Linked DNA regions of Saccharomyces cerevisiae S288C. The protein of the gene in region 1 purifies or fractionates together with the protein of each later gene. This does not show direct contact. Each region holds a gene or a part of one and is shown in the gene's direction. Other genes may lie near its edges.

Region 1 (3,485 bases):
GACCTTCTTGGTAACTTTAAAGATCCTAATTCCGGTATACGGATAGGGGAAGCTATAATCGTTACACCCAAAGCGAAAAGAAAAATTGAACTTGCCGTTTTGGATGCGTGGGCTGAGGTAGTGCAAAGATCCATCACGTCGTCAAATGATGCGCTTTTCTCTTTTACCAGGAAATATTGGAGCATTTTAGTCCCATTATGGATCATTTCTTTACGTGAATACATGATGATAAAGTATAACGATAATGATTCTACTGTGCAAGTAAAGAATGACTCGAAAGAAAATAGTCTCATTGAACCAAGAAGTACGAAAATTGAGTTATATGAACCGGTCTGGTTAAATTTCGTAGAGGCCCTTGGGTGCACTCTGGATTCAGACGTTCAAGTCATTTTGGCATCTCTTAACGATGAGGAATTAGAGTATTTTCTTTTTATTTTATTTAGCCAATGTTTGGAGGCTATCGTCAAAAATATTGATGATCATTCAGTCAAGATGCAAGTTTTACCGGCTTTACACAATGTTTTGAAGAGCAATCTGTGCATAAAAAGTATATTTGAGGATGATATTATTACTGAAGTTGTTGAGATTATGGACAGACTGATTTCTACAGGCGACAGTAAAGAAGAATTTTTGCTTGTTGATATCATCAGTGACTTGATCATTGGGTATTCGAAGTGTAATGCTACTCCTGAAACATTTCTACAAGATATTGACAAACTATATGAGCTACTGCGACTACTGATGACAATTATTTCTGAGAGGTTGCCATTTATTAAGTATAACGTGCTTACCAGCGAAGAAGATGATAATGAAATAAAAATCTCTCCCACAGATATTAGTCTGTTGAAAAAAACATTTATTGCGTTCGAATCAAATATCAGTAACTTCGACAATATGTTCAAAGTAGATCTTTATTCATGTCTTTTATTCATCATAGGGAAAATTTATGAATGTAGTCATCGTGAAGTAATAATTCCAATCATACTCCCACTTTTCAAGGCACTAGTAAAAGCGCTTACGGAATCTGAGGACGAAAAAAATATTGTGTTACTAGAAATATTCTACGGGTCAATAAAAGATGTTATTTATCATAAGCTGGATTCAAAGAATAAAGTTGCAACCATTTTGATCTTGCTGTCTAATGGATACTCTAAGCTAAGTTTTCAGGAACTGAATCAGTGCGCAAATATTCTCTCGGAGGCATTGAATAATCCTGCTACGCAGCCAATTGCTCTACAAGGCTTCAAGAGAATAATATCTAATATTTTCAAATACCCGTTGTTGCAGTATTTTATGAAGTTGGTTATAAAAAGATTCTTTCAAGATATTCAAACAAACGATTCCTTATCGCAGGCAAGCATTAAAACTAAGTTGATAATTCAGTTTTCCGAGGAAGTAATCAAACAAGATCACCAAAAGGCATCATTGTCAATTGCTTTATGTCTTTCTTTCTTTGCCGCATATCATAGCGCATATACAGAGAAAATAGACAACGAAGTAGCAAGTGGCATAGTTGCTTTGGCTAAATTGGACAAAAATTCATTTAAAGAAGCCATTTCTAGCACTATAAGTCCTCAACAAAAAGCAATTATAGGTTCCGTGATGGAGGCATACGTTAAATCGCAGTCTTTGGGCTCTGTCGAAGAGGCCTTTCAACTGAAATCTTTCGACTAATTGCAAGTCGGATGCATATGCACGGAAATAAAACTCATCGCGAAAAAAGAAAAAAAAAATAAAATCTGTGAAAAAATATCAATGGTGCAATTGGTTATTGGTCACTCATCAAGTAATTTGTTAGTTTTTATAGAGTTACAATTGTATAAAGATAAGAACATTTAGTTAAGTTCCCCACTTATTAGATCCCAAAGTTAAAGTTATCATGTGCAGTAGGATACTCTTGTCCGGTTTAGTCGGACTGGGTGCTGGTACTGGCTTAACCTATCTTCTTTTGAACAAACATTCTCCAACGCAAATCATTGAGACACCTTATCCACCTACCCAGAAACCTAATAGTAATATTCAATCTCACTCTTTCAACGTCGATCCTTCCGGGTTCTTCAAGTATGGTTTTCCTGGTCCGATTCATGATCTGCAGAACCGCGAAGAGTTTATCTCATGTTACAACAGACAAACTCAAAATCCTTATTGGGTCCTCGAACATATAACGCCAGAATCATTGGCTGCAAGGAATGCTGACAGAAAAAATTCCTTTTTCAAGGAAGATGAAGTAATTCCAGAAAAGTTTAGAGGTAAACTAAGAGACTATTTTAGGTCGGGCTATGATCGAGGCCATCAAGCCCCAGCTGCAGACGCAAAATTTTCTCAACAGGCCATGGATGATACATTCTACTTATCCAATATGTGTCCTCAAGTAGGAGAAGGTTTTAATAGAGACTATTGGGCGCATTTGGAGTACTTTTGTAGGGGATTGACTAAGAAATATAAGAGTGTAAGAATCGTGACTGGTCCATTGTATCTACCCAAAAAGGATCCCATAGATAATAAATTTAGGGTTAATTATGAAGTTATTGGCAATCCACCCAGTATTGCTGTTCCAACGCACTTTTTTAAATTGATTGTTGCAGAAGCACCAACAGCCAATCCTGCTAGAGAGGATATTGCTGTCGCGGCATTTGTATTGCCAAACGAACCGATATCAAATGAGACGAAATTGACTGACTTTGAAGTTCCTATAGATGCTTTAGAGAGAAGTACTGGGCTAGAACTTCTGCAAAAAGTACCACCTTCAAAGAAGAAGGCATTATGCAAAGAGGTAAATTGTCAAATTGTAGTGAGAGATTTCTCTAACGCGGCGATCAAACAATCGAAAGATGTGAAATTGTTACCTCCTCCAAAAAAAAGGAATTGAATGTACTGAAAAACTGTAAATATAAATTAATTCATAACACAACGATAGAATAGCATGAAAGAATATAACAAGTCTAACGCATATAACATAAAATAATACATTTATTTGATGATCAAAAAAAGAAAAGAATTAGGATGCAATGCTTGGATTTAGTATATATTTACAGAAATTTGTTTTGTTATTATTTGCTTTGTTATTTATATCGTAAATGTGCGTTTGGCCGTTCATCTTAAGTAACGTTTGACAGCCGACACACCATGCTTTTTAATATCTTGTATGATCTCCTTGTTTGTTTTGAACTCTGAATTTCTAATTTGATGTTTTAAGATGAAATTCCAGTCTAACTTCAATTCCTCAATCGTCATACCGTTCTGGTATAGTTCTGCGCACGCCCAAAGAAAAATGTCTGTTCTTCCTATCTGCAGTGCGCTTAATGCAATATTCCTTAAAATAGTAAACCTGTTTTGATTATTCACTTTTAATTTGACATCACATGGGGAGGATGCAATGAATGGGTTACAGTTCGATTTTGTCCAGTATGTTTTACTTCTCTTTGCAGCATTTATATAAAGTAGTTTTGCCAAATCGATATCCTTCTTGGCATTGGCAACAAATT
Region 2 (3,151 bases), on another chromosome or scaffold:
TTTGCTGTTTCTCGATCCCTGTTGTTCTTCATAAATAGCATGGATATCTAAGAACAGTTCAGCGACTGTCATATTTAGATGTCGATGACGTGTGTAGCGTAAAAATTTATATTCGCCAGATAGACCTCTCATAATTAATTGGCATGCGACCTTGTTATTGATATGAATGCCATTATTGTTCAGTCTGTCGATAATGTTTGTGACTTTTGTTTCAAATGCATCTGCAGGTGTACTGCCATTATATTGCAAATTTGCCAGGGTCACAATGTCGTTTGCCTCTTGGGTATCAGATTGCATTTTTTCAATACTTTTGGAAAGAATTTTCATGATATCCGTATAATCAACGGATAGGATGTCTTTGACCCAGGTAGGTAGGAATTGAGATGGAGCAAATATTTGAAAAGTGTTATACAAGAAGGTGAGTTCATCATCAGTGATCTGACGTACGGGTTTTCCGTTTACTGTCGGAATAATACCACCGAGATTCGAGTTTTGTAAAAATTTGATGTATGTTTTAACCCAATTTAGAAAGTCATTAGGTGAGGTTAACATTGGTGGTGGTCTGACATATTTTTTAGTGGATGTCATATCAGAGTCCGCTGAGGATGAATCAGTAAATGTATTACCTGACTCAGGTGATGGAGTGCTCAGAGGCGTTCCAACTGATGATGGATACTGCGGAAACTGTGAATGTGGCCCAGGTGGAAAGTACATAGGCGACATTTGATAAGGTGTATACGGAATCATAGATGGGCGTCCGTAAAATGACCAATCAGATGGATTGGCTTGGTTTTGGGTCATCATGCACTGCTGTGGGTACGGCCCATTCTGTGGTGAATGTGACTGAGCAGTTTGAGGAGAGGCATGATGGGGGTTCTCTGGAACAGCTGATGAAGCAGGTGTTGTTGTCTGTTGAGAGTTAGCCTTAGTGGAAGCCTTATCATATTCTTGAATTTTGGAAGCTGAAACGTCTAACGGATCTTGATTTGTGTGGACTTCCTTAGAAGTAACCGAAGCACAGGCGCTACCATGAGAAATGGGTGAATGTTGAGATAATTGTTGGGATTCCATTGTTGATAAAGGCTATAATATTAGGTATACAGAATATACTAGAAGTTCTCCTCGAGGATTTAGGAATCCATAAAAGGAAATCTGTAATTCTACACAATTCTATAAATATTATTATCATCGTTTTATATGTTAATATTCATTGATCCTATTACATTATCAATCCTTGCGTTTCAGCTTCCACTAATTTAGATGACTATTTCTCATCATTTGCGTCATCTTCTAACACCGTATATGATAATATACTAGTAACGTAAATACTAGTTAGTAGATGATAGTTGATTTTTATTCCAACAAGTTTAATGGTCAGAATGGGCGCTTGTCGCGTGCCAGATCGGGGTTCAATTCCCCGTCGCGGAGATTTTTTGCCGCACGTTTCCGCGTCAGACGAGCTTTTTTCACGGTTCCGGTGCTTTTTGCCGGCTGCGGCCCAATCAAACACCGCCATTTCGGCCGTTCCTCAACAAAGAACCCCTTTTATAGCCAGCAGAGCACGAGTTGATCTACTATATAACTACCCCCAACTCGTTCCACTACTCATTAGTGCTACGGATTCTCCCAACACGAAACAGCCAAGCGTACCCAAAGCAAAAATCAAACCAACCTCTCAACAATGTCTCCTCCAGTTTACAGCGATATCTCCAGAAATATCAATGACCTATTGAACAAGGATTTCTATCATGCTACCCCAGCTGCCTTTGATGTGCAAACAACAACCGCCAATGGCATTAAGTTCTCATTGAAGGCTAAACAGCCTGTCAAAGACGGTCCACTGTCTACTAACGTGGAAGCAAAGTTGAATGACAAGCAAACCGGCTTGGGTCTAACTCAAGGCTGGTCTAACACAAACAACTTGCAAACCAAATTAGAGTTTGCCAACTTGACCCCTGGTCTAAAGAACGAATTGATCACTTCTTTGACTCCAGGCGTCGCCAAGTCCGCCGTCTTAAACACTACGTTCACACAACCTTTCTTCACCGCAAGAGGTGCCTTTGACTTGTGTTTGAAGTCACCAACATTTGTTGGTGACTTAACTATGGCCCACGAAGGTATTGTTGGTGGCGCAGAGTTTGGTTACGATATCAGCGCCGGTTCCATTTCTCGTTATGCCATGGCTTTAAGTTATTTCGCCAAAGACTACTCCTTGGGCGCTACATTGAACAACGAGCAAATAACTACCGTTGACTTCTTCCAAAACGTCAACGCCTTTTTACAGGTCGGTGCTAAGGCTACAATGAACTGCAAACTACCTAACTCCAATGTCAACATCGAATTCGCCACTAGATATTTGCCTGATGCATCTTCCCAAGTTAAGGCTAAGGTGTCCGATTCCGGTATTGTCACTTTGGCTTACAAGCAATTGTTAAGACCTGGCGTCACTCTGGGTGTCGGTTCCTCTTTCGATGCTTTGAAGTTGTCTGAACCTGTTCACAAGCTAGGTTGGTCTTTGTCCTTCGACGCTTGAACGTATATATCTAATATATATATGTTCACTATATACCATATATGTGCTCGTTCTTGTTTCCATTTTTCTACTTGATCTTTAGACTTGTTGTTTTATTTATACAAATATATTAATGACAGAAAATATTCTTTGTAACGGCTGGTTCTCATAATCATATTGGTTGCTTGGCAGTGAGAATAGACTCACTTCCTGACTCATCATCACTTCCTTCCGCAGCCTCTAGCTCATTCAAATACAAGCAGTGTTTAGCAAAGCCAGGGATAACGTTTCTCGGTATTTTCAGATTGGTTTCGAACATTGTGATAAACTCCAAATCTACTCCATCTTTCATCCCACCAGAAAATAACCCGTACTCTTGGCATATACCTGCAGTGGACCATCCCTGTAACAACTTTCTTATGATTCCCACAACTACACCAACACGGTGCTTGCCCTTATTGGAATGCACTAAGATGGGATAGTTTCTGACATCCAGCACCAAGTGCAAGACCTGGTTCATTCTTTCTTGAATTCCTTCATCGCGGCTTGAATCCATAAATATGTGATAGTATTTTATCTTTTCTGACTCCAGGAAGCTTTGATATTCTTCGAGAGGCCTATCTTTATCGCCAATATATA
Region 3 (3,159 bases), on another chromosome or scaffold:
ATATTGAGACTAATCTTTCGAGAGCACCGTCGTTAGCTACCGTTTCCCTAACTTTTGATGAATTAGAGGTTAGATATGTTAAGTAGTTTAGGGAGTTTATTAACGGAATACTAGAGTTGATATCCAATGCCCTTCGGTCATAGACAGTAGATGTTATTGTTACTATAGGCTTGTTCGACGTTAATGATCGATGATTAGAGTCTCTCATTTCTTTACCTTTTCTTTGTTTTGAATATTTCAAATTACGTTCTATACGCTGTTATGATATGTTAATATAGCAAAAACAAACAAAAACTCCCAGGGAAATGAATTGAAAAATGCAACAAATAGGGACCTCACCTTTGTATAATGGAAGATTCCCAAGTTTCACTTATAGTTGATCAATGGGTATGATGAAATTAGCAAAGTAAAAAAGGGAATGTTTAATGGTTCAACTTAGATAAATGGAAGGTTGAATATGAGAACCAACAAAAATAAAAAATAAATAAAGTCTCAAATTATCTATATCGCTCTAATGAGGAAGTCACTGTGCACACTTACAGAAACTATATAAAAAACGGATATTTTTCTCTTCAGGTAGGGAAGTTTGTCCAGCACTTTCTTCCTTGTGAGCTGCTCTAGGTCTTTCGTTTGTATAGGCCGACCATCAATAACCCAACTCTCAAATTTTGCCACTGAACACCCATACAATACATAACCAAAGTATTCTAGTTGTTATCCTAGCTCGATGCATTGTTGTAGTAGGCCTAATAAGAAGATAGTTCAACCAAGAAAAATAGTCAAAAGGCTTTTTGCCGTTTGAACCATCATAAACTTATGGAAGCCATCTAAATAATTTTCCTTTTTCCTGGTTCCTTTCTATGTATCCAAAGATATATATTAAGTAGCCCACTTCTAGCCAACTTCTAGCCCACTTCTTAGGTAGTAACTATACGCAGCTGCTCCAGGAGGGAAAGAAAAAACCAACGGTCTATATTGTAATAACTATTAGTTTTCTTTCTCTTTCCGTGGGCTTCAACGGCCTTTATATAGCTCTTATTATTCGGAGTTGCTATTGGCGGCTAATATCTTGCGAAAAACGTGAGAATATGAACTTTAAAGTACACATGACTCGATTACTGATAACAAAATTGAGAGGGAAATACATAAGTCAAAATAATAAATGTCTGATGGACCATCTAACAGTTCACCTCGATCTACATATATTTCAATGCGAGAATGATTAATTCTTGCCATTGACAAACAACCCTTTTACTGCCAGCGCCTTTCATAACCATGTAGTTTTATATGCCTAATTATAATAAAGCATGACATATAATGCCAACCCCATATTTATATAGTTAACTTGAAACCGAGATTCATCTATTGCACCAGGAAAAGTGCCTTCTTCTTAAAACATAAGTTACGTCCCGACCATTCATCTAAACGGCATCAATCATTGCAGCAGAAGAAATAGTGTGTAGATGTCCTCGTTCGCTAGACGCAGTCAATGATAACAAGGTCTTTCTTCAAGCTGTCTTTCCATAAAAAGGTATCGCAAATGGGGTCACCAATGCGCCTTTTATTTTTCACGCCGAAAGAAAACTTAGTAGGTCCCTAGAAATGAATAAAGAGGTGATTCTGAGGTTCATTATAAGCCTTTGGTAAAACTTGAACCAAGAAAGATTAAAACACAAAGCCATGCCTATCAAAGAAACTGATAAAGAAGTTGTTTTGACTCATCCAGCTGATGAGACCACCAGCGTTCATATTCTAAAGTACGGTGCTACAGTTTATTCTTGGAAATTGAAATCTGAAGAACAGTTGTGGTTGTCTACTGCTGCTAAATTGGATGGTAGCAAACCTGTGAGAGGTGGTATACCTTTGGTCTTTCCTGTATTCGGGAAAAATAGCACCGATGAACATTTGAGTAAATTACCTCAACATGGTCTTGCAAGAAATTCTACTTGGGAGTTTTTGGGTCAAACTAAGGAAAACCCACCGACCGTACAATTTGGCTTGAAACCAGAAATTGCTAACCCAGAATTGACCAAATTGTGGCCAATGGATTATCTTTTGATTTTGACTGTTGAATTAGGCTCCGATTATTTGAAAACTGCCATAGAAGTAGAAAACACATCTAGTTCCAAGGAATTAAAGTTCAACTGGTTGTTCCATACATACTTCCGTATCGAAGATATTGAAGGAACAATGGTCTCTAATTTAGCTGGCATGAAACTTTATGACCAACTGTTGAAGGAATCCTACGTCGACAAGCACCCAGTCGTTACCTTCAATCAAGAAACCGATGTAATTTATCAGAATGTCAGCGCCGAACGGGCCATTCAAATAGTTGACAAGGGCGTTCAAATTCACACTCTAAAAAGATACAACTTGCCCGACACTGTTGTTTGGAATCCATGGATTGAGAAGTCTCAAGGGATGGCCGATTTCGAACCAAAAACTGGTTACCAACAAATGATATGTATTGAACCTGGTCATGTTCATGATTTTATTTCCTTGGCTCCTGGTAAAAAATGGAATGCTTATCAATTACTTTGCAAAGAAGAATTGAAATATCAAGCTATTCAATAAATAATATAAAAAAATGTAGCAACGGTAATTTTTATAAAGTAAATTCCCAGTTGTATACTTTTCTTAATGTGGGCTATTTGATTACCTCCATCCTTTATCTTTGTTTTTGTTGACGAACAACTAAAGCAACATTCTGTTTACTAAGACTCTTATTTAATTCCAAGTGCAGCAAGAACAAATTGCCAAAAGCGTATTGTTAAACTTGTTCTGGCAGCATATTATCGTAAAATTAAGTAACGTTTTTAAAAATGACACTGAATTCTACTTTGTGATGATCAAACAACACCCACCTGGTCTGATAAAAAAATCTCCGCGACGGGGAATTGAACCCCGATCTGGCACGCGACAAGCGCCCATTCTGACCATTAAACTATCACGGACAAATTTCTGAAGTTTTGTACTTTTACCAGTCCATCTAATACCATATATTTTGATAATAATTATGTCTTTGACAGTAACTTATCATCAGGACTGTTGGAATAAAAATCAAAAATCAACTATCGTCTATCAACTAGTAGTCACACTACCAGTATATTATGATATACGGTGTTAGATGATGGCATAAGGTATGAGAAGCTGTCATCG

Evidence for each region.
Region 2: the proteins of NUC1 (region 1) and POR1 purify together in Saccharomyces cerevisiae (affinity purification with mass spectrometry, with the first as the bait; 2 studies listed by BioGRID). This does not show direct contact.
Region 3: the proteins of NUC1 (region 1) and YMR099C purify together in Saccharomyces cerevisiae (affinity purification with mass spectrometry; 4 studies listed by BioGRID, with this or other methods). This does not show direct contact.

Annotation. Positions count from the first base shown.
Region 1 is NC_001142.9:39,578-43,062, reverse strand, and holds NUC1 (ribonuclease), read left to right. Parts: upstream 1-1,879; coding exon 1,880-2,869; downstream 2,870-3,485. Other genes in the region: AP-1 complex accessory protein LAA1, read left to right, coding at 1-1,674; CBP1 (Cbp1p), read right to left, coding at 3,094-3,485. UniProt on the Saccharomyces cerevisiae protein: This enzyme has both RNase and DNase activity.
Region 2 is NC_001146.8:517,376-520,526, reverse strand, and holds POR1 (porin POR1), read left to right. Parts: upstream 1-1,681; coding exon 1,682-2,533; downstream 2,534-3,151. Other genes in the region: YNL054W-A (gag protein), read right to left, coding at 1-1,071; OCA2 (Oca2p), read right to left, coding at 2,685-3,151. UniProt on the Saccharomyces cerevisiae protein: Non-selective voltage-gated ion channel that mediates the transport of anions and cations through the mitochondrion outer membrane.
Region 3 is NC_001145.3:463,349-466,507, reverse strand, and holds YMR099C (glucose-6-phosphate 1-epimerase), read left to right. Parts: upstream 1-1,680; coding exon 1,681-2,574; downstream 2,575-3,159. Other genes in the region: MYND-type zinc finger protein MUB1, read right to left, coding at 1-208. UniProt on the Saccharomyces cerevisiae protein: Catalyzes the interconversion between the alpha and beta anomers from at least three hexose 6-phosphate sugars (Glc6P, Gal6P, and Man6P).